Caenorhabditis elegans: one gene and its partners. The protein of the gene in region 1 purifies or fractionates together with the protein of each later gene. This does not show direct contact. Each region holds a gene or a part of one and is shown in the gene's direction. Other genes may lie near its edges.

What was found.
Region 2: the proteins of him-3 (region 1) and htp-1 purify together in Caenorhabditis elegans (affinity purification with western blotting; 2 studies listed by BioGRID, with this or other methods). This does not show direct contact.
Region 3: the proteins of him-3 (region 1) and htp-2 purify together in Caenorhabditis elegans (co-purification; one study listed by BioGRID). This does not show direct contact.

What each region holds. Positions count from the first base shown.
Region 1 is NC_003282.8:6,972,036-6,982,446, forward strand, and holds him-3 (HORMA domain-containing protein), read left to right. Parts: upstream 1-5,472; 5' UTR 5,473-5,490; coding exon 5,491-5,692; intron 5,693-5,734; coding exon 5,735-5,948; exon of another isoform or gene 5,949-5,994; coding exon 5,995-6,167; intron 6,168-6,214; coding exon 6,215-6,501; 3' UTR 6,502-6,730; downstream 6,731-10,411. Other genes in the region: nhr-249 (NR LBD domain-containing protein), read right to left, coding at 55-69, 117-362, 406-492; Guanyl-specific ribonuclease pgl-1, read right to left, coding at 2,582-2,971, 3,016-3,539, 3,584-3,755, 3,802-3,944, 3,991-4,331, 4,380-4,738, 4,783-4,929, 4,977-5,108 and 1 more; prkl-1 (LIM zinc-binding domain-containing protein), read right to left, coding at 6,993-7,106, 7,175-7,336, 7,830-8,364, 8,411-8,520.
Region 2 is NC_003282.8:5,385,644-5,396,241, reverse strand, and holds htp-1 (HORMA domain-containing protein), read left to right. Parts: upstream 1-4,684; coding exon 4,685-4,750; intron 4,751-4,796; coding exon 4,797-4,944; intron 4,945-4,990; coding exon 4,991-5,724; intron 5,725-5,772; coding exon 5,773-5,883; 3' UTR 5,884-6,053; downstream 6,054-10,598. Other genes in the region: swsn-6 (Actin-related protein 4), read right to left, coding at 1-537, 582-682, 739-853, 904-981, 1,047-1,123, 1,177-1,201; perm-3 (ER membrane protein complex subunit 4), read left to right, coding at 1,438-1,554, 1,692-1,910, 2,028-2,216; ZK616.5 (uncharacterized protein), read right to left, coding at 3,200-3,296, 3,341-3,414, 3,461-3,601, 3,652-3,717, 3,765-3,843, 3,889-3,951, 3,997-4,070; elo-6 (Long chain fatty acid elongase 6), read left to right, coding at 7,689-7,862, 8,434-8,960, 9,395-9,518; F41H10.12 (CACTA en-spm transposon protein), read right to left, coding at 10,162-10,462, 10,507-10,598.
Region 3 is NC_003282.8:6,414,032-6,424,474, forward strand, and holds htp-2 (HORMA domain-containing protein), read left to right. Parts: upstream 1-5,490; 5' UTR 5,491-5,497; coding exon 5,498-5,563; intron 5,564-5,608; coding exon 5,609-5,756; intron 5,757-5,802; coding exon 5,803-6,536; intron 6,537-6,585; coding exon 6,586-6,696; 3' UTR 6,697-6,867; downstream 6,868-10,443. Other genes in the region: exos-2 (Exosome complex component RRP4 homolog), read left to right, coding at 1,472-1,611, 1,673-1,841, 1,887-2,114, 2,697-2,852, 3,047-3,175, 3,223-3,312; Y73B6BL.22 (Nitrogen regulatory IIA protein), read right to left, coding at 2,222-2,422, 2,470-2,586; Y73B6BL.23 (uncharacterized protein), read right to left, coding at 4,172-4,268, 4,315-4,388, 4,436-4,576, 4,627-4,692, 4,739-4,817, 4,863-4,925, 4,974-5,047; puf-11 (PUM-HD domain-containing protein), read left to right, coding at 7,577-7,914, 8,052-8,861, 8,909-9,278.

The sequences.
Region 1 (10,411 bases):
TTGTACCCAGTAACAAAGTCATGTTGGCTATTCTCAAAGCACTTTCCATTTCGCTCATCCCTTTTCTGCCTGGAAATGTTTTATCTATTAACCTAAAATTAAACTTTTTTACTAACCAAATGATAATCAGTTAATGCAGTAGATACTAGCAAATAATGTTCTTGTGCAACAATTTTCAATGTTACACCAAAATCCACATAACCTAATTTCCAGAAACACAATGCTTTCAGAGCTGCGTATTCAACCATGTCAAGCTTCAAATGAGCCATCGGTTCTCCAACTGAGCTTCTAAAATTTGAAATAAAAGTTGAGAAATGTATATTGTCTGCTCCAAAACTAATTGATTCGCTGGTGTTGGATATCTGAAAATAAAATTTAATTTGAATAAATTTATCAAAAGCTGACCTTATTCCATTGTTCCAATTGTATTTCCGCCCATAATCCGTCAACCCATAAATTGGAAAATTCCACATATTGAAGTAAAATACCCATATCCAAAGAGTGAAGAAGATCTGTTCCAGGACAATGTTGAGTAATATACGTGGATTCCTGATTATTTGTTCTACTCAGACTGAAGAATGTTTGAATGAATGTCAGAGTGTCTCATTTCGGTTTGATCTACGTAGATCTACAAAAAATGCGGGAGTTGAGACGCAGAGTTCTCAACTAATTTCACATGCTTAAGAACGGGCTGACGTCTCATTTTTTGGGCAAAAAAATCCCGCATTTTTCGTAGATCAAACTGTAATGGGACAGCCTGACACCACGTGTTTTCATAAGATTAATGATCAGTTTTTTACAAACAAACACTTTAAGATGTCTGTTATCACCGATTTTCCAAATAAAAACATCAAACATACGTGTTTCATTAGAAAAAAATTTAAAAGTATTAATTCTTCAAGAACCCAGGTTGAGAAATATAATAATTGTTTAAGAATCTGGGTTCCAGAAAATTAGGGATTTCTTGGGATTAAAAAAATAATAAAAGTGAAACAAACAACTTAAAGGTAAAGGTACAATGTTGTTCGATCCTCTGAGATGACTTCCAGTTTCATGTTTTCCAGGAATGCTTTTTCCGCAGTAAATTTCACTCGAATTGGGTAATAAGTATTGATATTGACGAGAGATTAGTTATGACCGAAATGCCATTGATTTCATTTGTCAGGTAATCTTTTAGTTTTAGGTGGATGGATATTTAGTTATTTAACTGCCAGATTTCAGAGAACAAGCTCCAAATATATGTGAAATAAACTTTGGAAGTCGTAGAGTTCAAAAATTATACGATGATCCTTTGAAATTTACATCAATTGACGAAACACGTGCTTCCCTTTCATTTCTTCGTTACAATTTGACAACTACTCATAGATGGAAAGCATTTAAATCACTTTTTCAACCAACAAAAGTTCATGCAATTACATTTCATTAGACTATTCGACAACATGAAGAATGTAAAATAAAGACAGCTCCACGGTAAATAGGATATGTCAGACATTACCGTACAACTGCTTCCACGAGTTTGGCTGGATCTTGGATAAGAATATTCAGGCCATACACTACTAGTCAAATGGACTCTGAATTTTCGAAAGTACTGGAAGAGAAGGTTGTGAAGCGAGGTGAATTTATTTATAAACAACATCCTGTTTTCTGCGAATCAATTGATTTTAAGATTAGAAAACGATTTCCAAATGATCTACACTGTGTGAACTGATTGTTTTATTACAATTTGTATTATCTTATGAAAATGTATATTACCGTATATCTTCTATTAATATGGCCTCCCTATTAGACTTGCACTCCCTATTAGTATTGCCCCTCGGAGACGTTCCGAAAATTAGTATTGCACACCCTATTAGTCTTGCACTCTCTAGTAGTCTTGCGTTAACTTTTTTGTATTGCAAACCCGTCTCGCTAATTTTAGGATTTCAACATTTTTTTGCCTATTTTGCAACAGTTTTCACATCATTTCTACGAGATCGAAGTTTTTGAACTTATATGAAAATCAAATTTTCTGAATTTTTACATATGATTCGAGCTTTTTCAGGAAAAAACTAGTAAGCTCAAAGTCAGAAAATGCTCTGAAAATTAGTATTGCACTCCCTAATAGTCTTGCATTCCCTATTAGTATTGCAAGCGGGAAGACCATCGAAAAATAGTATTGCAGCCATATTAATAGAAGAAATACGGTATTTGTTATGTTCGAATGCAGATGTCTCATAACGATTTACAACTCTAATATGCGTAAATGTATGATAAGATCAGTTGAAATTGTATAAGAATGCATGCAGTGCCACCTGTTAATTTTATGATCCACCAATCATTCGGCACCGTCGATTCAGACATCACTTTTCTCATCAAGCCGCAGAAAGAGATATACGTGTAATTAATTGAGTTAATTTCTTGCAACAATCTAGTTCAAACATTTACCGGGAACAAGGAAAAACAGGTTGAATAAATAATAAATGACAGTCAAGGTTTTAGGGATTTTACAACAAGATTGTTAGAATAAATAATGTGCGTAAAACGTGTAAGTATACAAGAAGTGTATACTTAAAAAACAAATTAAACATTCAATAGTTGGAGTTTAGAAACCTCCGCGTCCACCACGACCCCCGTAACCACCACGTCCACGATCTCCGCCGTATCCACCTCGTCCTCCGCGGTCTCCCCCGCCGTATCCACCTCTACCTCCACGATCTCCGCCGTATCCACCTCTGCCTCCACGGTCTCCACCGCCATATCCTCCGCGACCACCTCCTCCTCCATAAGCTGAACTGGTGGGAGCAAATTGACCGAATCCTTTTGCAACTTTGGCTTCCCCAAATCCACTGACTTTGTATTGATTAGTCGGGGCAGGAAGAGGCATTGGAGTAGCGTCGCCTGACCCCCATGCAGTTTCAGCACGAGCTTGTGGTTGTGGTGTAGAATCTTTGTCAGCAACTGTGGTTTCCTCTTCATCTATCTGCTGCATGCCCTGAAAGAAATATTTTTATAATTCTGAAACGATGAACGCGATACCGGTGGCAGAGCTACTGATTTCGTTGGAGAATCCCAGCCATCGGTGGAAAAACTTGGCGCTACTTCTGGCGAAGCACTTGAAGAAGTATCTTGATTGGCATCCGAAGCCATCTCGATCTCGTTAACTGTTTGCTGTTGTTGTGCATCGTTAACCTTTTCTGGGACAGGATCGACCGCTTTTACAGTAACACCTTCTCCAATGTTTCTTGATGAGCTTAGCAAAGTCGAAGAATCCACTTCGTCACAAGAAATCTCCTGAAGACTGAGTGAATCCTTTGAATCGACAAGTAACCCGGAAGAATTGGTATCACTGAGACCGTTGAGAACTTGAGCTTTAGTATTTACGCTGTATGTGTTGTGAACCGTCGTCATTTCCTCTTTCGTGTAGGCGGAATCCTGCTGTTGGGAAGTGGATGGTTGCACATTGCTCTTTCTGCCACTTGGTGTATCGGACAAACAACACTTCTCCAGTGATTCAACAATTCGAGTGACATGAGTCTTCGAGTTGATTCCTTGAACAAATTCTGAAATTAAAAAGTTAACAGGAGATAAAAAAAGGAATATTCACTCTTGAAGCTATCGACGAGAAGATTTTTTGAAGTGGAATCCAAGAAACGAAGCTCGCCCAGCGCTTCAGTCTCATTCTCGGATCCGTAAAACTCTGTAAGCCACAGTGCAAACTGTAGAGCTTTATTCACATTATCGATCACCGCATCATTGTTTAGTGGACTCTGAGGAATCTGAAAAACGGTCATGTAAGTAATGTTTATAGAATCATTAACTCACCAGTGGAACGGGCTTATCGAAGCATTGCTCTAGAATTGAGACTTGGAACTTCTTGATAAGTTCCGCAATGGCTCGTCTTTTCCAGGCGCTCTCCAAGTCTTTCGCGACTCCAACAACATCCCAATCCTCAAAAGACTTCTTAGCTGAAATATTTAGATTTTAAAAGTAAACAAAGACGAAAATACTAACATCCTAAAAGAACTTGGATGATGTGATTGCCGAGGAACACCGCACTCTTGTAGACACTTCTTTGCAATCCTGGAAAGACTTCCGCTCTGACACTCGTAGGAATCCCAGAGAGGATTTTCTTGGAAACCTCGCGCTTTCCATCTGCAAGTGAACGAACGATAAGGAAAAAGAGCTGATATCCGAGTTGAGATCTCAAGACAAGTGACTCGTCTCCTTCATTTTTACTCGCTTCCTCGAAAAGTTGAGCGATATGGTTCACAACTTTCCCAACAGACTCTTCGAGTGGATCCATGAGGAGACTAATGAATGGATCGGCAGGTTCAGATTTCGGACCATCCAACCTAAATTGAAAAAAAAAATCGAATTATTTTGAAAAGGACAACAATTACATCAACTGTTTCAACAACGGCTTGCAGCTATCAAATGCGTTGACGACGTTATCACGGATAATGTCGACCTCGTCGCTAGTCTCCTCAGAGATAAGTCCGAGGATTTTAGTTAGGACATAAACATCAAAGTCCAGATCCAGTTGGCTGACAAGTTCCGTGAGCTCAACAAACTTTTCGGCGGCATCATCGATTGCGATTACTTTGAGAAGAGCTTGAAGAATCTTAGCGTCTTCAGTCTTCTTCAGCTTGGCCTTACGGGCGAGCATTCCGAGCTTCTTGTCGTCATCGATGACAGAAACCAGATCATGAGCATGTCCCAATCCTGACAATTTCTCAGCAGCAGCATCAAATTTCGGACGCTAAAACGTTATAATTGATTACAATAAGTTTAATTCACACTTACAAATTTATCTCCGAGAAGAAGACAAACGTCCATGCCAGCAGCAATAACGGCAGCGTTAGCGTCGTTCGGCAAGATCATCTCCAAAATGTCTTCGTCTCCAGGAGCGTCTTTGGAAGCTCCCAACACGAAAGCAGCCAACTTATTGGCCTGAAATTGAATAATAGAAAATCGGTCTTTAAATATTATAGTCCAACCTGAGATGTATTGTTGAACAGTTCTTCGTCATTCTTCGTGATGTAGTGGGCCAAATTTGGGAAAAAGTAGGATCTCAGCCCACCGAAATCCACAATTTCTCGCTTGTTAGCCTCCATGTGAAATGGATGAAACTGAAATAAATATTTAAATTTTTAAAAAATTTTTCGAGATTAGAATTCAAAAAAACGCAAAATTTACCCAAAAAAGTAAGAAAACGGAAAAGAAAATTGGGACGAGATCGAAATTGCAACTTCCGCGTTCGCGTCGAGTTGTTCGTTTCGAGACCCGTAGATCTGAAACTTCCATGCGCCTTTAATAATTTCTAAGTTTCTGAACTATTTCCAGATTTATTTTACCTATTTTCTAGTTTTTTTTTTCAAATCAAAATATGTTTAATCAATGCGGGGTTTTATAATTAAATAATATGTTTAACTTGTTATAGATTTTATAGATATTATTTTTTAAACATTTTAATTTGTTTCACGATGATATTTCAGTAATTGTAGGTTTGCGATGGCGACGAAAGAGCAGATTGTTGAGCACCGCGAGTCTGAAATTCCTATAGCCAGCCAGTGGAAGGCCACGTTTCCCGTTGATCTAGAGATTGAAAAAAATTCTGAAATGTTTGCGCTTCGCTACATAAAATGTGCTTCGGCCTTCATTCTCGATCGCCGTGGCATTTTGGACGAAAAATGCTTCAAAACTCGAACAATAGGTATGGCTTATTTTACAATGTATCACAAATATTTTTATACAGATAAACTGTTGGTCACCGCATTCCAGAGCAGTGTTCCTGCCGCAAAGCGTGTGTCTTCAACATTCGACGGATTGAGAGATGCGATTCAACAAGGCTATTTGCGAGAGTTCGCAATCGTGTTCTACAAGAAGCCAAACGAGGAAGACATTAATGAAGTGTTTGCGTTCAGGTTTGCTTATGGAGATGAAGGAGAGATTTTCGTATCTCTAAATAAGTAAGCTGCTGGTCTTATTCAATTATTCGTTTTCAATTGTTTTCAGCGGAATCGACACGAACGAAAGCAGTCAAGAACTGTTACAGGCGAAATTCGTTGATACCGACAACACGAAACAAATGTTTGCAAGCACAATCAAGAAACTTCACCGGTGTATCAAGAAAATGGAGCCGCTTCCTCAAGGGTCCGACGCGAGTTTCCGTGTTTCGTACACTGAAAGTAGGTTACATTCACAGCTTTAGTCTATTTCTAACTGTTATTTTAAGAAGCTCCAAAAGACTATACACCCGAAGGCTATCTGCTGAGTCCTATGTTCTATACGCTGAATCAGGATATTAGGAAAGCATCTATTGGAATCGTGTGTGGCGGTCATCACAAAATTCAAATGCTTGCTGCTTCACAATACTTGAAGCAAGACTTCGATCTGGATAAAACGACCACACTCAATCCAAATATGTCAATCATGGCAAACCAATCGAAAAGGAAGGGACGAATTTCCAGAGATTCCCCTTACGGTCTCAGTCAGGGCATTACGAAGAAGAATAAGGACTAGTCGAAAAGTTTTCACTCATGTGCAATGTTTCTCTTGTTTTATATTTTTAGCCATTGTTTTTATAATTTCATTGATTGTCGTGCTTTTGTCTTCTCTTGTGTGATATCAATCTATCTTCTTCACGTATAGTTTCATCTGTTTGATTGAGTTATTTTTCTTTCACTGTAAGTCTGGTGTTTCGTAGATTTAGAAAAAAGTAGCGTAATAAATTATTTTGAAATGGACCAAACATTCAAATCCAGTTCAGATAAATTTATTTCATTGAAGCAGTGTTGGAATTCGGACAAATGAGAAGTGAATATTCATTTGAAATAAGTTTTACATTACTTGCACTGTTGGCTGGGTGTTAAAAATAGGTTCAATATTGAATTAATAAAATGGGACAATTCACCGTGCAGAAAAAAACGAAGGAAAAGGCTTAAAATTGAAGAAGAAGTATAAAAGAATCACATGGGCTTTTCAGGAATTCAGTAAATGTTTGGACAAGTATATCAAGATACTGTACATCTGGAACTTTTCTTTTTCTTTGCCATTCGAACACCGCCTCCCGACATCATCATTGGTTCATTTTTCTTTGATTTACGACTGGAAGACTTTGCAGGAACCTGAATTTTTTATGATTGAATGTTTGGAAAATCTCAAATTGATAGTGTGGAATAAATTAAAAACTTACTCTACTCAACGAGGCGGCTGCCATAATATTTGAAATGTAAAGCTGTTCATCATCTGAATCCGACGAAGATGATGTACTATATCCATCCATTTCGGGATACCCAGTAAGCAGATTATTTGGTGTTTTTGAGTAGTAATTATGGTGGTTAGGAGATGTAGGAAGCTGAAAATTGAAATATTGTTGGTCTAGAGTTTTCTCATTTTAAGAAACAGTACAGCCAACTTTACTTTGAAATATTCGAAATAGTCTCCCAGGGCCAAGAGATTCATTTAAAAAAATCAAAAAAAATAAAAACTCTATTTTCCAAGTCTTGCTATTCTCTATCTCCCTCTCTCTACAATTCTCCTCTAAAAAAAGAACTGCAAAACAAACTAGAGATTTGCTTCGCCTACTCTTAAACCAATCAGATGGAGTGAACATCTTTTGAATATACCGTTATTGCCGCCAAATACCTAACGAGACCCATAGTTTGGGGGCGGAACGTTTCACTTGACAGTGAAGCGCGTTTGATATCAACAGGGCATTTTCCTGCGTCCTCCATAATAACAAGAGTTGAAAAAGCAAATGATATTTATCGTTTTTTATGGTATTAAAATATTTCAAGTAGGTATTTAAAACTAAAAACCTAATTCAATTACAATGTTAATTATCTTACCTCATGAGAGTACTTCTTATCGAAATTTGGACTATTATTCGATGAACATGGTAGAACAGTTTCATATATATTTTCTGATGGAGGAGGTGGAGGAGCTCTTTGTGGTGGTTTTGGTCGTTGATTTTGAATAACCACACTTGGTTTCTGAATCGTCATTGTCGTCGTCAAATTCTGTTGAATGACATGAGGATGACGTGGTGCAACCCTCGGAGAAGCTGGGATACGAACCACTTTTGTGGATTTTTGTGTCACTTTTCGATGCGGCGAACCCAACCGATCCTCATCAAGCAACTCTTCGTCTTCTCCACCACATGTTTGATATCCACAAAATAGGGATTCACCAACTCGCGAATATTTCACGCCGAGCAAGTTTTTGGAGCAAACACAACAGCAAAAGCATTCCGCAGACGCGTGCCAATGAAGATCTCCTTGTGACATATGTGGAGTGTCAGAAGAGAATGAAAGACGGCATGTTGTACATGAAAATGTTGATGAAGATGAGTGAAAACATTTCAAGCACACGGGTTTGTTTGCTCTGGAAATAATGGTTTAAAATACTTTTTCGGGTTTAAATTGTATACCTCTGCATATATTTTTGATCAGCTAGAACATCATTGCATTGTGCACATTGAAAATGATGAAAATGCCACGATCGTCCTTCAGCTTCTAAGCATTCATCCCCGAAGATGACCTGAAAATCAAAGATATTTGAATCATATTGCATTTTGATTGGCGGCCGTTTTAACTTTGGGAGTTGAAATTTAATATCGGGAGAACCTTGAAGCATCTGGAAAAGCGCAACTTTCACTGGTGGGGTCACAAATTTACGAGAATTACAATTGTGAACGTGAATTTCGAAGAAGCACAATTGGAGGTTAGGAAAAAAGTTCCAAAATAAACTAGACACTCTAGAAATCTGAAATTGAAGAGGGAGGCATGTATTTTTGCCAAGGATTTCTACCGTAATTGCACTAAAAAAAGATATAATCGTTTATGTATTTTTTGTCCCACGAGTCAGAAAATAGTATTGGAATTATTGGAATTATTAACACAAAATTGTTAGGGTGCAGCTACTACAGTGCGTCCAACTTCTATAGCACCCCCCCCCCCCCCCAATTTGGCGGTTTGGAGCTTCTCAAAATATTTTTTGAAAAAGTGTTAGTGCAGTTCGATAGCAAATGTTGAAAAACCTATGCTCCCCAATTTTCATTATGATATCTCAAAAATCACAGGAATTAGGTCAAAATATCGGAAAAATGGCCGTCCAACTTCTATAGCACCCCCTCTGATTTTTGGAAATTTTCAGTAAAATCGGGGGTTTTCTTCTTAATTAATGAATTTATTTTGTGAATAACTTTACACCAAAATAATCAGACGGTTTCATTTTCACATTTAAAAAATAAATACAACCCCTGAAAACACGTGGAACGCCTAGGATTGTCCTGGAACGTTCGTATTTGCTACAAAGGCCATTTCTCGGCTCCCAATGATTTTCGCAGCACCAAACTTGACCAAAATGATCTTCCCCACCTATGTATTACTATTCAAATAATTGTTGAAAACATTTATTCATATGAACCAAATGGTAAAGGGAGCAACTGCAGTGATTTTCAAAAGGCTTGATTTAACTATGAAAACTAGCGTTTGGAGGCGCAGAGCTGAAGGTTGGTAATACATTTTCGACTAAAAATTACTAAATTATAGCAAAAAAATAAAAATTATATTATGTGAACATCAAATCTGTGGAAATCCATGGATACATCAAATGCTAAACATCTACAATCACCGATTCAGGTTTTGTCTGTTAGTTTTTAGGTTCTTTGACCATAGAAATATTCAATGAGCAAATTCGCTAAATTTCAGTTGAGTTATAAATACAGCTAGAAAAATCGTCATTCAGAAAGTTATATCTTACTTTCGTCTTTAAAATTTTCGCGTGTTAGCTTGAGAAAAATACTTGCGGCCTCGCTTTGCCTTTGTCCTCTTTTGAGCGGTCTCATGAACTTTTCCTAATAAATTTTCGAAGACTTCTAATCAAAATCAAAGCTTCAAGGATATTTGAACCGGATGAGCTAAAATTCTGTACAATAGGAAGTCAAAACCATCAGCTCTGCGCCTCCAAACGCTAGTTTTCATAGTTAAATCAAGCCTTTTGAAAATCACTGCAGTTGCTCCCTTTACCATTTGGTTCATATGAATAAATGTTTTCAACAATTATTTGAATAGTAATAAATAGGTGGGGAAGATTATTTTGGTCAAGTTTGGTGCTGCGAAAATCATTGGGAGCCGAGAAATGGCCTCTGAAGCAAATACGAACGTTCCAGGACAATCCTAGGCGTTCCACGTGTTTTCAGGGGTTATATTTATTTTTTAAATGTGAAAATGAAACCGTCTGATTATTTTGGTGTAAAGTTATTCACAAAATAAACTTATTAATTAAGAAGAAAACCCCGATTTTACCGAAAATTGCCAAAAATCAGAGGGGGTGCTATAGAAGTTGGACGGCCATTTTTCCGATATTTTGACCTAATTCCTGTGATTTTTGAGATATCATAATGAAAATTGGGGAGCATAGGTTTTTC
Region 2 (10,598 bases), 1.6 Mb from region 1:
TGGAAGCTTGATTCTTTCGGCTCCGAACTCTTTTGTGTATCCATTAGGGAAAGCATAAGGTGTCGATGGAAGTTTGTCGACGTAGTCCATATCAATACTTGTATCACAGAGTTGGAGCATAGTGGCTGCCATATCCTCCAAAAGCATCTTTTTCATAAATGCATCGTAACTTTTCGTGACCTGTGGTAGATTTTTCCTTGGAGTCCATTTTGGAGCTTCTCCTTCGTTAACTTCTTCTTTTCCACCGATTCTATAAGTCGGAATAACATCAATCTTCTGTTGATCGAGCATTTGAGCCAGTTGTTCTGTGATGAGATCGCCGCCGATTGGACATTTTACCACCGCGTGAGTCACTGCGTAGCCATCGAAAACAGGAACAACTGAAGTTTGAGTTGCTCCAGAATCAACCATCAATCCGTGCGTTCTTCCTTGTGCGAAACAGGAAAGAACAACATTCTTGGAGAGGTAGTACGCAGGGACTTGGAATTTTTCGAACATGATCTCAGTCAGCTTCTCCCGACGAGCACGGTCATTCCACTGAAAACAAGTGTTTCTTATTAAATAATCCTTAATGTTCTTACCGAGCTTTCAGAAAACAAAACCGGATGTTCAGATGGATTGGAGTAGAGGATATTCTCATACGAATGTTCCACAATCTTTTCGAACAACTCCCAATCTTCGACTGAAAAGCATTTTTTTGTTTTTAACTTTAACTTTAACTTCTGTCAAATTACTCACTTAATCCTTCTTTCATAAAACTTTCCATGTTAGTTCTGGCGCGTGGCACAATGATTTTGGTCGTTCCGATGAAAAAATTCTTCTCGCGTTTTGTTTGCACTTTCGAGTTATCACCCTAAAAATAATGATTTCATTGAAAATGAATTAAAAATTGAAACTGCGTACTTCTTCCATAGCCTCTTGTTTCTCAATAGTATCATCAGGAAGTGCTTCTTGAACGGCAATGTATGATGGAATATCTCCCTAAAAAAATAAAGCAATAATATATTTGAAGGTATAAATTTATCAATTCTTGAAATGTTTCTTGCCTTTGGGTATTCTTCTCCAGCAAATCCCACGCGGAATGATTGAGATCCGGCATCGAAAACCAAGCCGCTAACCTCGTCTGCAAAGAAAACGGCGTTTTATCTATAACTTAAAAGATCAAAGTTCCCATACCTCCTCCATAAACTGCTCCACTCATATCTTGATCTGAAAAATTTATAAAAGTTATAAATAAAACCGAGAGAAAAAACAAAAACAACAATAAACGCCGAGGGAAGAAAAATATCAGTTTAAATTTTATGCCGACACCGAGAGTGCGCCAACGCGATCAAAGAACGCGTCAGCAACCACCTGGCGTATTTATCGATTTTTGCTCTTTCATTAATTTTCATTGCCATTTGTTTCTTGCTCTTAAATATTCAATTCTTTTCCAGAATGTCACTATCGGCTTGGAAACTTGACTACACTTACTCTTCGAAGAATTGTCGTACTGCGGACAGTAATTTTAACCCGCCAGGCTTCTACTCGACAGCTGCCACCGTTCAACATAGCGTGAGTTGAATTTCTTCGAGAATTGAAAAGTCTTAAAAAAACAGTTATTCGCTAAAATTGTGTATTTAAAAAACATTAAGAAAGAAAAAAATCTGCTTATTATTAAAACCTTAATTTTATAATTTCTCAATTTTCAGGCCGAAGCCGATCGATCCGCTGATCAACACGAGCATCTGGCACGAAAACGAGTATGGGACACTGCAATGGGACCAGCTAAATCTCTGCCGATGAACATGTTCATGATGTATATGGCCGGAGGCGGTGTGTCGATTTTCCCAATTATGATGGTCGGAATGATGGTGTTTAGGCCGCTGAAAGCATTATTCGCAGTCAATTCCACATTCAAACCGCTTGAGGTAAGTTGCGAGTTCCCACAAACTATAGTTTGAAGCTAATTAGTACTGGTTTTTGTACCTTTTAGTTTTTGTTGTTTGGAGAAGGCGTTAAACAAAAAAATATTCTAACATTTTCAGAGCCCTGCAACTGGATCAATGTTTATTCACAAGCTCATCTTCTGCCTTGGAAACCTCGGAGCAATCGGTCTTGCCATCTATAAAGTACATACAATGGGTCTTCTACCGAATACTCCATCAGATTGGCTCGAATTCATTCCTCAACCGGGTCGTGCTCAGTATTCAATAATCGACGAAGTATTCATCTGAATCTCCGAACGAATCTAGTCAATTTCCATTCCCAATCTTTCCTCCAAACTTGCGTGATCTTTTCCATATTTGATTGCAGAATAATTAATAAGGATAGTATATAATTTATATCATTTTTTCCATTATGCTTCGTTCCCCCATTTCATTGTACTTCGAAAGTCCCCAAATACATAATTATTTTCTATAGTTTTTCTCTCGGAAATTCATGTCACACCATTCAACAACTCACTGATAACACGCCATGCAAAATAAGTTACCAGAGCTCAAAGAATGATGAAGCATGTGAAGAAGCTAGGAACACGGGAATAGTGATCAGTGATACAACAAAGATCACATGTAACAGATTCATAACTATTTTTTATTCCAGGATTTTGAATTCCGCATTCTAACCTACTGCCCGAACGATTTCCGTGAATATTTTTCAACACAACAAGTGAGAATCGAGACAATTTTCTGGAGAATGTTTATTGTGATTCAAAAAAACCAGAAGGAATTGAAACATTGACCAGAGGAAAACAAAAACAAAAAGGAAAAGAGAGAGCAGACATGGGACAGACATTCGGTGAAAGCTCAAAAGTTATTCTGCTAATGCAGACTTCTAGCCTAAAAGGATGCGTATGAGGTGATGGGTACAGTAAAAATGGGAAAATATAACAAAGGATCGAATGGTCAATGAGGATCGGATGAACGTTTCATAGAAAACAATGTGAAATTAATTCAACCTTCCAATCATCGATGGTAAATAACCTTCGATCGTATTATGGATTAATAATGGGGAAAAAGCTCCTGACTTAGAATCATGGAAAATACAATGTTAGAACTTCTTAACCGGTACAGAGAAAAATGAATGACGGGGGTTTGATTACGGGCATGATGGGAGTGAGAATATGACAGATAATATGAGAATGATACATTCTTAAAATGAGGAGCAACTCAGGCATAAGAAATATGACAGATTGAGAGAAGCTGGAGAGGGAGATCATTCATGGAGAGTTGTACCAATTGCCACCTTCTTTGTACGACTTCTCGTTGTTGCAGTTAGGCGCGGTAGGAATCAATGGGTACAGATAGTAAACCCACCTGGAATGATAAATTTCAGTTAATTAATTGATTTAGATACTCACTGTGGATATACGAGTTCCTCGGATTCCTCCACAAAGCCACAAATACTCGAATCGTTCGAATTGTTGGTACCGTTCTACAAAAATACATTACAGCTAATGTTCAATGAAACTTTCTGGTACCCCATCATCGATAATCAGGTCCTGTGCGACAGGCTCGTCGATTCTTTGTCTCTCCACTTCTACTCGAGGCTGTGCCCTCTGAAACGGAATCGGCGCAACGGCGGGTGCTGTAGTTCTTGTCCTTCTATCTTGTGACAATCTCTGAAACCAAGGTTTGTCTCATAACGAAAATATGAAGAAAATAAACTCACTGGACCGGGAGTAGCCGACCGACGCGACATGCGGGATGTCTGAGCATTTCGGGACTCGTTCATCAGCTAAAACAAGAAAAATTAACTTTTTTTCGGTGTACTACAGCACTCACTATGATTTCGTCCGGATAAGATGGCCACGAGTCTGGCGATCCAAGGGAATAAGCACCTGTAGTCACCCAGTCGTACACCCTGAAGAATAAGTAAATTAGGAACATTTAAAAATTAGTTTCATACGTTTGTTGCCTGGCGACCTCACTGACTGGACCGCTCCAGATTTTGTCCCTGTATGCGCCTTTGCTGAAAAGAAAGTACTCGAAAAAATGACATTTTTTATTCAAATACCTCGGGGAGTGCTCTTCTCTTGGCTTAGAACTCCAATTCTGTCTCGTTTGATGACGTCCTCGATAGTTTGGCATCTGAAAACAATGATAAACGTTTTTTGAGCTTGAAAGGAGAAAATTTAGGCAAACTCGTCCAAAAATGAGAATTCAGACCGTTTTAAAAATAGCAAACAAGTTACAGTAATCAAAGGAGCAGTCAGTAAACTAAATTTAGGCCTCACCACGAGTTAGCGAATTTCACTTGCATTTGCGTATTTTTAAAGAATAGTACTTTTTAAAATTACCTCTAGTAATCAAATTTGTTGACAGTTTTGAAATGAATGAAAAATTTACTTTAAAATAAAAGGAAAAGCTGCATTTAGTCAAAAATTATTTGAATAGTTTTGAGCTTTTGTAATTGCGTGGCGAGACCAATGGACTTACCCAATCCGATGTACCTTTAATTTAGCATTTTATTTGCATTTTTGAAATCCTAAAATTCTTTCCTAGGCTTTCGAAATTGACGATTTTCTGTGTTTTTTAAAATTCAAATATCGTTTCCTAGTTTCGAAAATAATTTTTCGTTTTTTAGTGTATCATTTTAAGCTTGTCATTGGGTTTTTTCTTTCTTTGCATAGTATTCCTCGAGGAATTATATTATATTTCACATTTACAAACTCTTGCCTAAAAATGAGACTGTTTTTTTGCAGATGGCGCCCTTGGAAACCATCTACGACGAATCGCTCAACAAATCGGCGGATTCCATTGATGATAAGGTTTTTTTCATGGTTTTATGGCCATTGTAATTTTTTTCATCTTTAGAAATGGTCCAAACTTTTCCCAAGGATTGTCAGCGACCCGGATCGATCATCCAATTTCATGACCAGAGCAATCTACGTCGCGTTTTCGGCTGTTCTTAGGAACCGTAACATTCTTGGACAAGAATATTTCACGAAGAATTACATCACTGGTAAATGTTTTTCTTATCACATTTTATAGTAAATGTTCTTTTTCAGAAAAGCTGAAATGCATGACGCTGTGCTTCAGAAACCCACGGTCTAACCAAATCGCTCAACTACTTCGAAATGCTGGGGATGCAACAAAGGATGGGTTTCTGAAAGAAGTCTCCCTCGTGATCACAAATAATGAAGGAGATCTTGAAGCCATCGAAGTTTTCTCTATGAAGTTCATTTATTTTGAGAATGGCGGCGTGGTTGCTCGTCTGAGCACTGACAAGAATGGCCAGGAAGATCCTCACTTCGCAAAGCTTGCTCAACTTGTATACGAGGGTGGCGACAGCGTACGAGATCAAATGGTGACGATTGTTCGCAGTGTTCAGTTCCTCTGCACAAAAGTTCTCGAACCGTTGCCAGAAGAATTCACGGCTAATTTTCGATTGGAGTACACAAACGATGCTCCATCCAATTTCCGCATTGATGGCTTCGAAGATTCTTCCACTTTTTACACACTTCCTGATGATATCCAATCGGCAACCATTGGTCACTTGCGCCCAGGATGCCACGCTGCAAACATGGAATGCTGGAGCATGTTGATGTCCGATTCATACGAAGCAGAGTTGACTCTCAAGCGACACCTGGACAAAGTTTCCGATAGGCATGGATTCAATCCAGTGAATGTGCTGTATAAATCGTTTAATTCGGAGGACAGTGACACAAGTCTTAGTCAGGCCACTACTGAATCTGTCAACGATCAAGGAGGAAACGAGACTTCTCCGGTGGATGATATAACTGTTAGTTTATTAGTTTTTTACATATAAACAAAAAATTTAAAATTGTAGGAGTCTCTCGAGAAAGCACAAATGTCGCCTATCCAGACGAGACCAACTACTCGCAGAGGAGCCGATGGCAGCAAAACCAGATCGTCTCCATATTCTCGTTCCTGTAAATAATTTTTTTCCTAGCTTTCAATAGATTATAGCTTCATTCTGTAACTTGGCATGTTCTATATCATCGTGTAAAATGTTTTATTGTCTTGAGTGTTTCCTTTCTGCTCCATTATTGTATCCTTAGTTTTTTTTATTCAAATTACAGTCATTCATAAATAAATCGACTGGTGTTATTAAATAGCATGTTTCCCATGACTCCATTTTCAAGATACTCCAGTGCATTTCAGAATTTTTCAACAATTGACCAATCTAAAAAGGATTCTCTCTTTTCTTCTTCTGCTGGATACCGCTCCGAGTATCTTTCGGTAAATCTCGAAATTCTCTTTGTATTCACCATTCATGCTGACCTCGATAACTTTTCTCAAGGTTCTTTGCTAAAATTTATGTGGTTTGCAAGGGAACGTGGCGATTGTTGATTGTTGGTTTCAAGTTTTGAAAAAAAACACAGTTTATTCTACTTTTCAATGTCAGACGTCACAAAATTTATCAGAAAAAGCTTTTTTATTGCAGTGTCTGAAACAATTTTATGTAGTATTCAGGTTGATTGTAGTCGTTTTAAAGGCGCGTGCTACTTTAAATTGGTCTCGCCACGAAAACCATATATTTGTATGTTCTGTTAAAAAATCACATTCTAGCGAACAAATATCTCAATTTTCATTTAAGAAAGAGCAGTCGCGCCTGTCGCCAACAAAATGGATCGTGGCGAGACCTATCGAGAGAAAAATGTTCTTTTGAAGTGGAGTCTTCAGATTTGGCGAATTAATTCACGAATTCACGACTGGATATTACCCAGACACAAAATGTTGTAATTTTTTCGCCAAGAATACCAGGTCATGGGATTAAAAGGATTAAAGATTAAAGAATACAATTTTTGATTAAAAAGATTAAAAATACAATTTTTTATTTCAGAAAATACTGGAAATTCAAACTCTTCTTAATAAAAAACTTAATTTTTATCGATTTTTCATAGTATTTTGGGAAAAATTAATTGTACTTGTATTCATTAAAAAATCTCTCAATGATAATAATAAGAACACATTAATTTTAGCAAATCACATCGATTTTTAAAAAAATCTGCAGCAACGTAGGTTTGGGATTACAGTACTCTTTAAAGGCGCACAGCCTTTTGCATTAAACTCAAATTTTTCGTGTCAAGACCTGGTATAGTATTTTTGGCGCACAAATCACAAAATTCCGTTACTGGGTATTATACACAAATCATGAAAAAATATATTAAAAACCATTTATATACGAAATTTAATTACTGTTTCAGGCACTTTTCAATTACTTTTTAATAAAAAACATCTTATCAATAGAGTTACAATTCTTTGACCGTACATTGAGTGTGTTCTGAATCGTTTCACTTCAAAAAACCTATAAACAAATGTCTTCCACTCTCTCCCTCTCTCTCTTTCCCCCGTCTACCGCCTCTTTCATCGCCCCATAATTTCCGAATTTTCTTCGAAAAATCACTTGCCTCCGCCTTTTTACCTTTTTTTCCAACAAAAAAAATCAGACCACCATTTGGTATCTCACTACAAGAGAGAGAGAGAGGGAGAGACGCAGAAAACGAGATGGTTAAGTATAAAAAGGAGTTGGTGATGACCGTGTTTTGTGACTTTCGGGCTCTTGGAGCCAAAATGTTTGCTTTGTTGTATTCTTATGTTAGTCTAGAGACTTGTACCTTGTACCCATCTACAGTAATCTTAAGCCCCACCTGTTAGATCTGGTTCTTATTTAGCAGTTTACTTTGAGCCACACTCTTCATATGGCAGTTCCTTTTTTTAAGTTTAAAATTGCAGGTAAAAATGCCACAGGGAGAAGTCTCATTCTTTGAGGTGCTGACAACTGCTCCATTCAGTCATGAGCTCTCAAAAAAGCATATTGCACAGACTCAGTATGCTGCTTTCTGGATCTCAATGGCATATGTTGTCGTTATTTTTGGGCTCAAGGCTGTCATGACAAACCGAAAACCATTTGATGTAAGTTTGTAGATTCTCTGAAACAGTAAATTTTCGGTAAAATTTAAATTTTATTATTGAACAGTTTAGTGTTGCAAATAATTAAGAACCCATTTTTTGATTAATTGAAAATACATTGCTGGTAGATTAGAACTCATTTTGTATCACACAATTAAATATTTCCTGAAACAGTAATTATTTTCTTACTTTTAATGCCACCAGATACAAAATACTATTTATTTGATGTTACTTTCTAAATAGATTGTCTGAAACAGTACATCTTTGGTGATTTCTTAACTATTCGGAGGTAATTAGAACTGGAAAGTGGGGCCAGAAATGCGATGTGAGTCTATAGATTCTTTGAAACGGTAAACATTTTATGAAAATTCAATTTTTTTTAATCAAAAGTTTAGCTTTTATCCATTTTAAAACAAAAACTTTTATAAATACTGCTTTGATAACTTTTAAAAGAAAATTGTGATCGTTTCTCAATTAACAGTGGAAATATACTACAAAATAAAAATTGCGGTTGAAACGGGAATTATATTTTCCACCAATCCACCCACTTAAAACCCCACTAATTTATTTCCAGCTCACGGGACCACTGAATCTCTGGAATGCGGGTCTTGCTATTTTCTCAACTCTCGGATCACTTGCCACTACATTTGGACTTCTCCACGAGTTCTTCAGCCGTGGATTTTTCGAATCTTACATTCACATCGGAGACTTTTATAATGGACTTTCTGGAATGTTCACATGGCTTTTCGTTCTCTCAAAAGTTGCTGAATTCGGAGATACACTTTTTATTATTCTTCGTAAAAAGCCATTGATGTTCCTTCATTGGTATCATCATGTGCTTACAATGAATTATGCTTTTATGTCATTTGAAGCTAATTTGGGATTTAATACTTGGATTACATGGATGAATTTCTCAGTTCACTCAATTATGTATGGATATTATATGCTTCGTTCTTTTGGTGTCAAGGTTCCAGCATGGATTGCCAAGAATATTACAACAATGCAAATTCTTCAATTCGTTATTACTCATTTCATTCTTTTCCACGTTGGATATTTGGCAGTTACTGGACAATCTGTTGACTCAACTCCAGGATATTATTGGTGGGTTTTTGTCCAATATGTAGTGTCTTTTTTTAGTACATAGTGTAACACGAAACTATACAATGCAAGTTAATATTCCGCCTAGATTTGATTTTTTTTGGTGATTTGCTTTAGTTTTTCAAACATGTATTTTTTTAACTGTGATAGTTAGCAAAATATTACCATTTCACTAAATGTTGTCGTTGTCGGCTGCTGTAATTTATTTCAGAACATGAGTTTATACAGCTTTGACACTAAAATAATTAATCGACAACATTTTGTAAATTGAAAACATTTTGCTAAATATCACAGTTTATGAGTTTTTTTTGTTGTTACCAAGCAACTCAAGGAAATTTGATAGTGGACACTACATATGTATTAGAACAACTAAAATTTGTAGAAAATTTACAATACTTTTGAAACAGCATAAAATTAGTAAAATGCAATATTTCCAGGTTCTGCCTTCTCATGGAAATCTCTTATGTCGTTCTGTTCGGAAACTTCTACTATCAATCATACATCAAGGGAGGTGGCAAGAAGTTTAATGCAGAGAAGAAGACTGAAAAGAAAATTGAATAAAATATTAGAATAGAGATAATTTATCTTTTTTTTCCGGGTAGTTTACACTTTCTATTAAATGTTCTGATTTGTATAATAAAGGTTTAGTAGAATACAATTATTTTAATTGTTATCTTAAAAACAAAGTATGGTAACTACCTTATGTCAGGCAGGTAGATTTTTTCGTTCCTATGCCTATGTTGAAACCTATAACTTTTTCAATATGAAAAAAAGTTTTTTATTAAAAAATTTATGTTTTTCCGATTGGTGATTTTTCGTCGTTGAAGAGATCGATCAAGCAGTTGTGACTTAAGACAATTTTGTCGTAAATATGCCACATCGCGCTGAAGTACAGTATGGTACCAACAACGAAGACGGAAAAATAACGATAAGAGGCGTTTGGAATCACGGGAACGTCTGCTGGCTAGCATGCTTGGTACATTTCATCAGCAGAATCCCCAATGTCCGTACAATTCTAAGTACAATTGTTAGCAGTATAACACAAGATAGCAATTTGTCAACTTTGGATGCTCTAAAGATCAGCCTACTGAACGAATTGGTGGATGCACTCTCTAAACTGGCTTTGAAACAGTAAATTTTTAGCAATAAATAAATTAAATACAATTTGATAGAAAAAATCCAACTGTAAGCTCGTGCTGGTTAATTATACTGAAATAGTGAGCTCTACAAAAATGAAGTTTGTTAGACTTCTAGAAACAGTGAAAAAAGTTTCGGTCAAAGTATATTCACTGAACAAGAAATGACCTTCGTCCCGATTTTCTCCTTCAAAAATTATGACACCATTCAGCTTATAGCTATAATCCTCTTCTTCGACAGAGAAGCTGTTTTCCGTCGCTTCCGGAGATGAATCAAATGTTGCTATCTTCTTGATATCTTCACGCATCTGTTCTTCTAGAGAATCAGCTTGTTGTTTTGCAGCTTGTGAGAAGATCGTCGATAGTTGGCTGAAAATAATACATTTTTAAAGTTCTTAATGATTATAACCAACATTCTAAGTCCATTGAACATTTGAAGAACATGGGTCATTTCGAGTCGTCGTTTTTCATGTTGCTTTGAAAAATTAGTCTGCATTATTCCAAG
Region 3 (10,443 bases), 560 kb from region 1:
TAAATAAGTACTTGCACCTGACTATCATACTTTAACAGCTCATATCTCAATTCATTCAAAACAGTTTACAAACTGTAAAATTGATAAATTTTAGAAAATTAAATAATCAATAAGTTGCCAGTTGACAGTTGTTCAAAAATTTAAAGACAACCAAGTTATAACTTCTAAAATTAATCAATGCCTCGATGTATTAGATACAATATTTTGAAAACATTGTTTTCGATGAACCACAATTTTGTAAATAGTGTATCAGAAACAGTGTTTTTTTTTTTCGATTTTTTACAAATTTTTCTGGGAGCTTTTGTAAGACTCCTACTACTATTTTTATGGGAAATTTTAGAAAAGTAAATAGTCAATTAGTTGTCAGTTAACAATTTTTGATATAAAACAAAAAATAAAAAATGAGCTTCGAATATGGAGCAAGTGTACAACTGCTAGAAAAATATGTGGACCTTTCTTTTGCGACACATTCTTTTTAGGAAATTTGCACTGTTCTGTGAAAGATTTCAATCTGAAATATGAATAGAACAGAAGAAATAATATTGATTTTCCTGAAATTAACCGAATGTTTAGTTGAAGTTCTTGAGAAGTTGTTCAAATACTGGCTCAATTACAATATTCCGGGTACATATGCATTTTTAATAACTTTTAACGAAATTTAAGAATAATATCAAAAATATGTTTCAATACTTCTCATAAAACTCTCAATCAAAATAAGAAATACCAATTCGAAAATTCGAACATTGTTAATCAGAAAATGGTAACTTTATAAATGTTTTTTCAGAAACATTGATTTTTTTTCAATTTTTTCAAAATTTCAAAACTTTTTTCTAAGAGTTCCACATGACCGTCTACCGTCTGAAAATGTTTTTTTTTTAATTTTTAGATGGAGAAGAATACTTTTACAGTCAACCTAAATAAAAAAGAGTACATAAACCCGCAAAATCGGAATCTAGGAAATATTTAAAAATCGCACAATAAACCACCAAAGTTTTGAAAATTTTTCCTTTACGATTTTTACTTCTGTTTTAAATACTCAGTTTTTCTCCAATATATTTCTACGTATCCTCTTTTGTTGTATTTTTCCCGTTCGCATGCAAGTCGAAATTATAGGTGTCCCATTCAACTCACACTTCCTTCCAATGACACCTTTATAAAAAGTCAGACAATGGCTTCGTGTCGAACCTTATTTTTATTTCAATTTCGGGTTTTCATCGTCATTGGTTTAGCAGAAACAATTAAATTTGCACGCTCAATTGGCTCGCACTTTTATGGTCGAAAATCAACATTTGAATAGGCGCCAATTGAGTGACGTGTGGGTTTACGATAAACAGCACGCTTTCCGTCATTTCGGAGTGTCGTTGGAAATAATTATTTTTATTTTCATTTCGAATGAAAGCTTTTTTCAGTTTCTTTGTTTAATTTAAGTTTATTTAAATTTGGTTATTTGCAGACAAAAAAAATTTAAAAAATGAGTTTCGAAGTCACCGGTCCACCCCTCGTATCACCATGGATGATGTTATCAATGTCCGAAGCAAGAAATGATATTGATGAGACAAAAATTGTTATTCCAGGACATTCAGTTTGTGATGCACCGCAACAGTTTATGAGGTATGTATATTGTAAAATACTGTTATATCTTTTTGAAAAATGAAAAAATTAAGATTTTCAGAGGACATGGAACTTACGTTCGCGACGGAGAAATCGTCAGTTCTCTCTCTGGAGTCGTTCAACAATTAAATCGACTGTTGATGGTTAAAACTATTAAACAACGATATGCTGGTGAAGTCGGAGATGTTGTAGTTGCCCGTGTCGTGGAGGTTCAAGCAAAACGGTGGAAGGTTTCAAATTTTTAAGTGAAAAATATAACGATAATTGTTTTTCAGTGTGATGTGGCATCTCGTCTTCATGCAAATCTTCCACTAGGTTCAGTTCTCCTGCCAGGAGGAGACTTTCGCAGAAAAGATGTAGAAGATGAGGAGAAAATGAGCGAATTCTTGAAAAACGGAGAACTGATCTGTGCAGAAGTCCAACAAGTCCAGCACGACGGAACACTTATGCTACACACAAGAAATAATAAGTACGGAAAATTGCAACAAGGAATATTGATTAAGGTAATATTTTATAAAATCTTAAGAAAACGCAATTATAAATTTTTAAATAATAGTTCGGAAAGTTGTTATATTTCTTTAAATTCATCATCCAATTGATTCCAATTAGCTCACGTACGGCGTCTTGCTCTAAAAGCCTCAGAAGTTTTATTCAATTCTCGATCTCTGTACTCAATCACAGGATCTTGATCCTTCTTTGCAGTTGGATGCAGTTCAACAGTCTCGACGCCATAACGAAGAATACAAAAAATTACAAGCAACGCAGCAATGAGAATCCATTGTGTATAAGCACGCCATTCGGGAATTGGGCTCTTTAATAATAATTTTCTATTTCAAAAAAAATTAATGAAAAGCTAACCTCCGTGATAACCATATTTGCACGTTCATCGAGTCGGTAGATCATTGAATCGAGCACTTTTGTACGAATATCCTCCGCCTTTTCAAAGTGTTGAGTTTTCTCATTCTTATGCGACATCTCGTTCAAAGCAATATTTCTTTTTTGTTTATGCTGCCAAAATAAATAAAGCGACAAAAAAATCCACAAAATGAGTGGGAAGTCACGGAATTAATTTCTTTTTTTTGCAGGTTCCTCCACATTTGATCAAAAAGTCCAAGAAACATTTTCACACGTTACCCTACGGAATGGCTGTGATTATTGGCTGCAACGGAAGTGTGTGGGTCACGCCGTCGTTGCCGGAGACCACACTTGAAGAGGATGGATCACATGTTCACGAGTTTCAGGTGTGATAGTGATTCTTGAGAAAAATGAATCGAAAATAACAATTAGCGCACATATTTGGTGACTCAACAACGAGAAATTATAATAATTCCAATGATTGACGAGACCTTATAATTTATTCATCATACTCGTGATCATCATAATCGAAAAGAAAAACAAAAAAATTTGGCTTTTTTCGCAATAAAATAAATTTCAGATTGTACCTCCCGACGTACGCGTAACTATGGTCAGAATCGCTGCCTGTGTTCGTCTTCTTCGTGATTATTCCATCTCGATCTACCTCAATTCACTGACAACATGCTATGAAATGAGTCAGCCTTATGAAGTATCGATTGTTTCTTCAGTTTTAAAAAATTAGAAAAATAATTTCAGATCAAAGAGCTCGCCGAGCAAGACACGTCTTCTCGACTCGCCTACCTGATTGCTGCACGGCTTCTACAGGAACTTCAACAGCAGAAGTAATTCTAATTGTTTTGAATGATCTCTCCCTATTTAAAATTTACCTTTTTTGTTGCTGTTATTTCTTGTTGAGTTTCTTATTTACCATTTCAATTAAATAAAACTTTTTACTTTTTCGGATGATATTAGCTGCGATACAAAATCTGAAAGTTTCGAAAGAAATGGTCCATACCCTGAAATTAAACGATCGACCCGTAATCTTTGCAAACCCAAGGTCGCACAGAAATTTTTTTGATCTAGGAATTGTTTCAATTGAACTCCACATTCTAACTTAATGACCGAACAATTTCAGTGAATATACTTCGATTCACACTATCCGCTTTTCAATCCACCAAGTGAGAATCGAGACGATTTTCTGGAAAGTGTTTATTGTGATTCAAAAAAAACCAGGAAGAATTGAAACATTGACCAGAGGAAAACAACAAAAAGGAAAAGAGAGAGCAGGCATGGGACAGACATTCAGTGAAAGCTCAAAAATTATGCTGCTAATTAGCAGACTTCTAACCTAAAAGGATGCATATGAGGTGTTGGGCACAGTAAAAATGGGAAAATATAACAAAGGATCGAATGGTAAACGAGGATCGGATGAACGTTTCATAGAAAACAATGTGAAGTTAATTCGAACTTCTAATTCTCGATGGTGAATAACTTTCGATCATATTATGGATTAATAATGGGAAAACAGCTCCTGATATAGAATCATGGAAAATACAATGTTAGAACTTCTTAACCGGTACAGAGAAAATTGAATGAGGGGGGGTTTGATTACGGGTATGATGGGACTGACAATATGAGAAAGAATGAGGAGCCACGCAGGCATAAGAAATATGACAGATTGAGAGAAGCTGAAGAGGGAGATCATTCATGGAGAGATGTACCAATTGGAACCTTCTTTGTACGACTTCTCGTTGTTGCAGTTGGGCGCGGTGGGAATCAATGGGTACAGATAGTAAACCCATCTGGAAAAAGAGATTTCAGAGTTAATTCATTGATTTAGATACTCACTGTGGATATACGAGCTCCTCGAATTCCTCCATAATGCCACAGATACTCGAATCGTTGGAGTTGTTGGTACCGTTCTACAAAAATACATTACAACTAATAATCGATGAAACTTTTCTGGTACCTCATTATCGATAATCAGGTCCTGTGCGACAGGCTCGTTGATTCTTTGCCTCTCCACTTCTATTCGAGGCTGTGCCCTCTGGAACGGAATCGGCGCAACGGTGGGTGCTGTAGTTCTTGTCCTTCTATCTTGTGGCAATCTCTGAAACCAAGATCAGTCTCGTAACGAAAATATGAAGAAAATAAACTCACTGGACCGGGAGTAGCCGACCGACGCGAATTGCGGGATGTCTGAGCATTTCGGGACTCGTTCATCAGCTAAAACAAGAAAAATGAGATCTTTTCGTTGTACTGTGACACTCACTATGATTTCGTCCGGATAAGATGGCCACGAGTCTGGCGATCCAAGCGAATAAGCACCTGTAGTCACCCAGTCGTTCACCCTGAAGAATGAATCAATTAGGAGCATTCAAAAATTAGTTTCATACGTTTGTTGCCTGACGACCTCACTGACTGGAACGCTCCGGATTTTGTCCGTGTATGTGCCTTTGCTGAAAGGAAAGTACTCGAAAAAATGGCATTTTGTTAATTTCAAATACCTCGGGGAGTGCTCTTCTCTTGGCTTAGAACTCCAATTCTGTCTCGTTTGATGACGTCCTCGATAGTTTGGCATCTGAAAACAATGGAAAACGTTTTTTGAGCTTAATAGGAGAAAAATTAGGTGAATTCGCACAAAAAATGAGAATTCAAAACGTTTCGAAACCAAGCAAACAGGCTACAGTAATCAAAGGCGCAGTCAGTAAACTAAATTTAGGTATCACCACGGGTTCGCGAATTTCACTTGCATTTGCGTATTTTTAAAACATATTACTTTCTAAAACTACTTCTAGCAAATAAACTTATTGCCAGTTTTGAAATGAATAAAAAATTTACTTTAAAATGAAAAGAAAAGCTGCATTTAGTCAAAAATTATTTGAATAATTTTCAGCTTTTGTAATTGCGTGGTGAGACCAATGGGTTGCACCAATCCGATGTACCTTTAATTACGCATCATCTGCATTCTTTTTTTTGAATTCAAAAATTAAACTTTGCCCTAAAAATGTCTTCAAATTGTTTTTTGCAGATGGCGCCTTTGGAAAATAACTACAACGAGTCGCTCAACAAATCGAAGGATGCCATTGATGATAAAGTTTGTTTCATGGTTTTATGCTTATTTTAATTTTTTTAATTTTAGACATGGTCCAAACTTTTCCCAAGCATTGTCAGCGACCCGGATCGATCGTCCAATTTTATGATCAGGGCAATCTACGTCGTGTTTTCGGCTGTTCTCAGGCAACGTAACATTCTCGAAAAAGAATATTTCTCGAAGAATTACATCACTGGTAATTGTTTTTCTTATCACATTGTATTGTAAATGTTTTTTTCCAGAAAATCTGAGTTGCATGACGCTGAGCTTCAAAAACCTACGGGCTCACCAAATCGCTCAACTACTTCGAGCCGCCGGGGATGCCACAAAGGATGGGTTTCTGAAAGAAATCTCCCTCGTGGTGACCGAGCATGACGGAGATGTTGAAGCCATCGAAGTGTTCTCTATGAAGTTCATTTATTTTGAGAATGGCGGCGTGGTTGCTCGTCTGAGCACTGACAACAATGACCAGGAAGATCCTCACTTCGCGGAGCTTGCTCAACTTCGATATGAGGGTGCCGAAAGTGTACGGGATCAAATGGTGACGATTGTTCGCAGTGTTCAGTTCCTCTGCACGAAAGTTCTCGAACCGTTGCCAGCAGAATTCACGGCTAATTTTCGATTGAAGTACACAAACGATGCTCCATCCAATTTCCGCATCGATGGCTTCGACGATTCTTCCACTTTTTACACACTTCCTGATGGTATCCAATCGGTCACCATTGGTCACTTACGCCCGGGACACCACGCTGCACACATGCAATGCTGGAGCAAGTCGATGTCCGATTCATACGCAGCAGAGTTGACTCTCAAGGGACATCTGGACAAAGTTTCCGATATGTATGCATTCAATCCAGTGAATGTGCTGTATAAATCGTTCAATTCGGAGGACACCGACCCAGGTCTTAGTCAGGATACTACTGAATCTGCCAACGATCAAGGAGGAAACGTGACGTCTCCGGTTGATAATATAACCGTTAGATTAAATAGTGTTGTACACATTAACAAACAGTTTCAATTTGTAGGATTCTCTCGAGAAAACACAAATGTCGCCTATCAAGATGAGACCAACTACTCGCAGAGGAGCCGATGACAGCAAAACCAGATCTTCTCCATACTCTCGCTCCCGTAAATAATTTTTCTCGTTGTGTTCATTAGTTTACAGCTTTATCCTGTAACATGGCATGTTCTATATCATCATGTACAATGTTTTATTGTCTAGAGTTTTATTTTCCTTTTTGCTCCATTTTGTATCCTTGGTTTTCTTTTTAAAATTACAGTCATTCGTAAATAAATTGACTGGTGTTGTTAGAATTTTTCCCACGTCCCAGTTTCAGGATACTTGAATGTATTCCATAGTTTCCATCAATTGGCCGATCTAATTGTATGAAGGATTCGTATTCTTTTGCTGAGTCCCGCTCCGAATATCTTTTGGCATTTAAATCTAAAAATTTTCTGCAATAAGCACCAGGAACCGGACATGCTTCATGAGCTCATAATCATAACTACTAGCTTCTGCTAATTCTGCAGTCAACCCGAGATCGTAACCATAAGTCGTGGAACTGAGTTCTTGAAGTTTGTAGATGCCCGCGCCACTGATTCGGGTCATGAATCCGCGTTGCAGTTGAAAATATTCTATTATTATATTTAATTTTGTTCTTTGATTTAACAAAAAAATAGCGCTCAAATACGCTTAAAACAAGAATTTTTCGTATTCTGTGCCAAAATTTATCAATCGTGGCGAGACCTATAGGCTTAACGTCGAAATGCGCCTTAAAATTCTACAGTACTTTATTTCATTTTGCGCGGGAAATTTTGGGATTTTAGTTTTAAAAACGCGCGAATTTTTGCATTTTGGTTCCTGATTTCTTCATTTCTGCTCATTTTTTGCCTTCGAGGACGTTTCCCAAAATTTTGCTCTCATTTTCATTAATTCTATCGTATTTTCCACGTATTCCGTCCATTCAAACGACCATTTTTCCCAAAAAAATATTTTCAGTTAGTCTCCGTACCAATATGAGTCAAAGCACCGGTTCCTCTAACCTCGGTCGCTACCACGAGAGTCCGCCAACGACGGAGGCTCGCAATGTGTCCGGAAAAAACACATTCGGCGGTTGCTTCAACTCGAACAGCTCCAACATTTGGACGCCGAACCGGAATGTGGATTCTTCGATGGGATTTCAGCGCGTCTCATCGACACCAAAGAATGCTTCGACTCCGTATCGTCAAGGATTTGGAGGACAATTTTCCAAATGGCGGACTTCTACACCGATGACGACTCCGGCACGTCATCCTCAACAGGCCCTGAGACTTATCGATTTGGAGAACAACGCGTCGTCCCCGAACACTTTGAAGTAAGTTTTAAATTTTCCAGCGTCATTTTACTCGAAAAACTGTGTGTTAGTTCTGAAAACACGCTAAAAACGCTCTTCTGGAAAAGTGACATGGAGACTCAATTTTAGAAACTTTCAAAAAATTAACCTATTTTCAGCTCGAGCACCCGCAGCTACAAATGCACACTTCCAATCTGGGCTGGCGACGGCGAGGGAAATGTTTCGGACTCGGTCACTCTTCCGGATGTGCTCGCCAACGACGCTCTCGTGGAGTTTGCCACTGATAAGAATGGATGTCGATTCCTTCAGGAGCATTATCCAACGGAGAGCGACAATGACATCCACCAGAAACTCTTCCGTAAACTGGTGGAGGATCGTGCTATCTTCTTGTCGCTCTGCTGTAACATGTTTGGTAACTTTTTCGTGCAACGTGTCTTGGAGTGCTCGAACACTGAGGAGCAGGAGATTCTTACGGAGCACTTGGCTAGTGATTTGTACAATCTCTGCCTTGACAAGAGTGCGTGCCGAGTCATTCAACTGGCTATCCAGAAGCTTGACGTTCATCTTGCAACTCGTTTGTCCTTGGAGCTCCGTGACACGTACCTCGTCCGTCTCAGCATCGATCAAAACGGAAACCACGTGATTCAGAAAATCGTCAAGACGCTTCCAGTCTCTGCGTGGAGTTTCGTCGTGGAGTTCTTCGCCGACGACGACAATCTCATTCACGTGTGCCAAGACAAATATGGGTGCCGTGTCATTCAATCGACCGTTGAAACTCTGTCTTCTGATACATACGCGGAATGCTACCAACAACGCGTCGTTCTTCTTCGAAGTTTGATGTCAGGAGTCACTCGCAACTGTTCTCAACTGGCTTCCAATGAGTTTGCGAACTACGTTGTTCAACACGTAATCAAATGTGGAGACGCGATGGCTGTCTACAGAGATGTTATCATTGAGCAATGCCTTCTGTATGTTCTATAGTCAAATTTATAAATGTATTTTTCCAATTTTGCAGGCAGAACTTGCTCTCGATGTCTCAGGAGAAGTACGCTAGTCATGTGGTCGAAGTGGCGTTCGGATGTGCTCCATGCCGTCTGGCTGCCGAGATGATGAACGAGATCTTCGAAGGCTACATTCCACATCCAGATACCAATCGCGATGCTCTCGACATTCTGCTCTTCCATCAATATGGAAACTACGTTGTTCAGAAGATGATCCAGATTTGTGTTCTCGGTCAGAATGCTCGAGATCAGAAGCAAGCGGAGATGTACGGCATGTGGCTCGAGAAGATTCGCGAACGAGTCATGCGAAACGCCAATCGCCTCGAAAGATTCTCGTCGGGCAAGAAGATAATCGAAGCGCTCCAATCAATGTCCTTTTACTAGATATAGGCAATTCATTTGCATTATTATCCTAACCCCCACTCACGTGTATTATTATTATTATTATTATTATTATATTGCTAGAAAACATTAGAAAGAGTATTGCAACCTCTTCCATGTTATATGAAGACCCCGGCCCCTTTTTGCACAATAATTGATTTAAATTCTGTGAATAAAGAATTTACAAACTTTCAGATTTAATTGCTTAATTACGGCCGAACCTGAACTCCTTCTAAAGCTTCATCGATCGTCTTGCTCAGTACATGATCCTTGTTGGCATAGACATATCCTATGCTTACTAAAGTGTAGACAGGTTTTGTGTCACACTGCAACTTTTTTCGAACGAGGGCCGAGAAAAAATGCGAAAAATCGGTGTTTGCACACAATACACCGCATTTTACGACATTTTGTACTTGCTTTGTTTTCTTGTGTTTTTCACAGATTTTTCCCGTGTTTTCTTATTAAAACTGATAAATAAATATTTTTGTTAATGCTAAAATAATTTCCAGATGAAAAAATTGTGAATTCAGTCGGCAAGTAGCGGTAAAAGTGGTCAATGTAATATGATGGATTACGGGAATAAAAAACCAAACTTTTTCCCAAACATGATACATATGCTGTTTAGATGCTAAAAGTACCTGATTTTCAAAACGAGACCGCTGAAAAAGTTTTGAGATTTTCAAAATTCAACTTTTTTTGTGAAAAAGTCGAGATTTTGGCACAAAATGTTGAATTATGAAAATCTCAAAACTTTTTCAGCGGTCTCGTTATGAAAATCAGGTACTTTTAGCATCTAAACAGCATATGTATCATGTTTGGGAAAAAGTTTGGGTTTTTTATTCCCGTAATCCATCATATTACATTGACCACTTTTACCGCTACTTGCCGACTGAACTCACAATTTTTTCACTTGGAAATTGTTTTAGCATCTGCAAAAAATATTTATTTATTAGTTTTGATAAGAAAAAACGGAAAAAAATCGGTGAAAACGAAAGAAAACACACAGAAAACAAAGCAAGATAAATGGCCGCTGAAATTTGTCGGGGACTCGGCCATGGCCTAGAAACCACTTTTCCTCGTCCCTCGTGAGGAAAAAGTTGCAGTGTATCAAGTGGACGATATCCAAACACTTCGGTTTCCAGTCTGGAGTTTTTTTTGTTCTCCATGG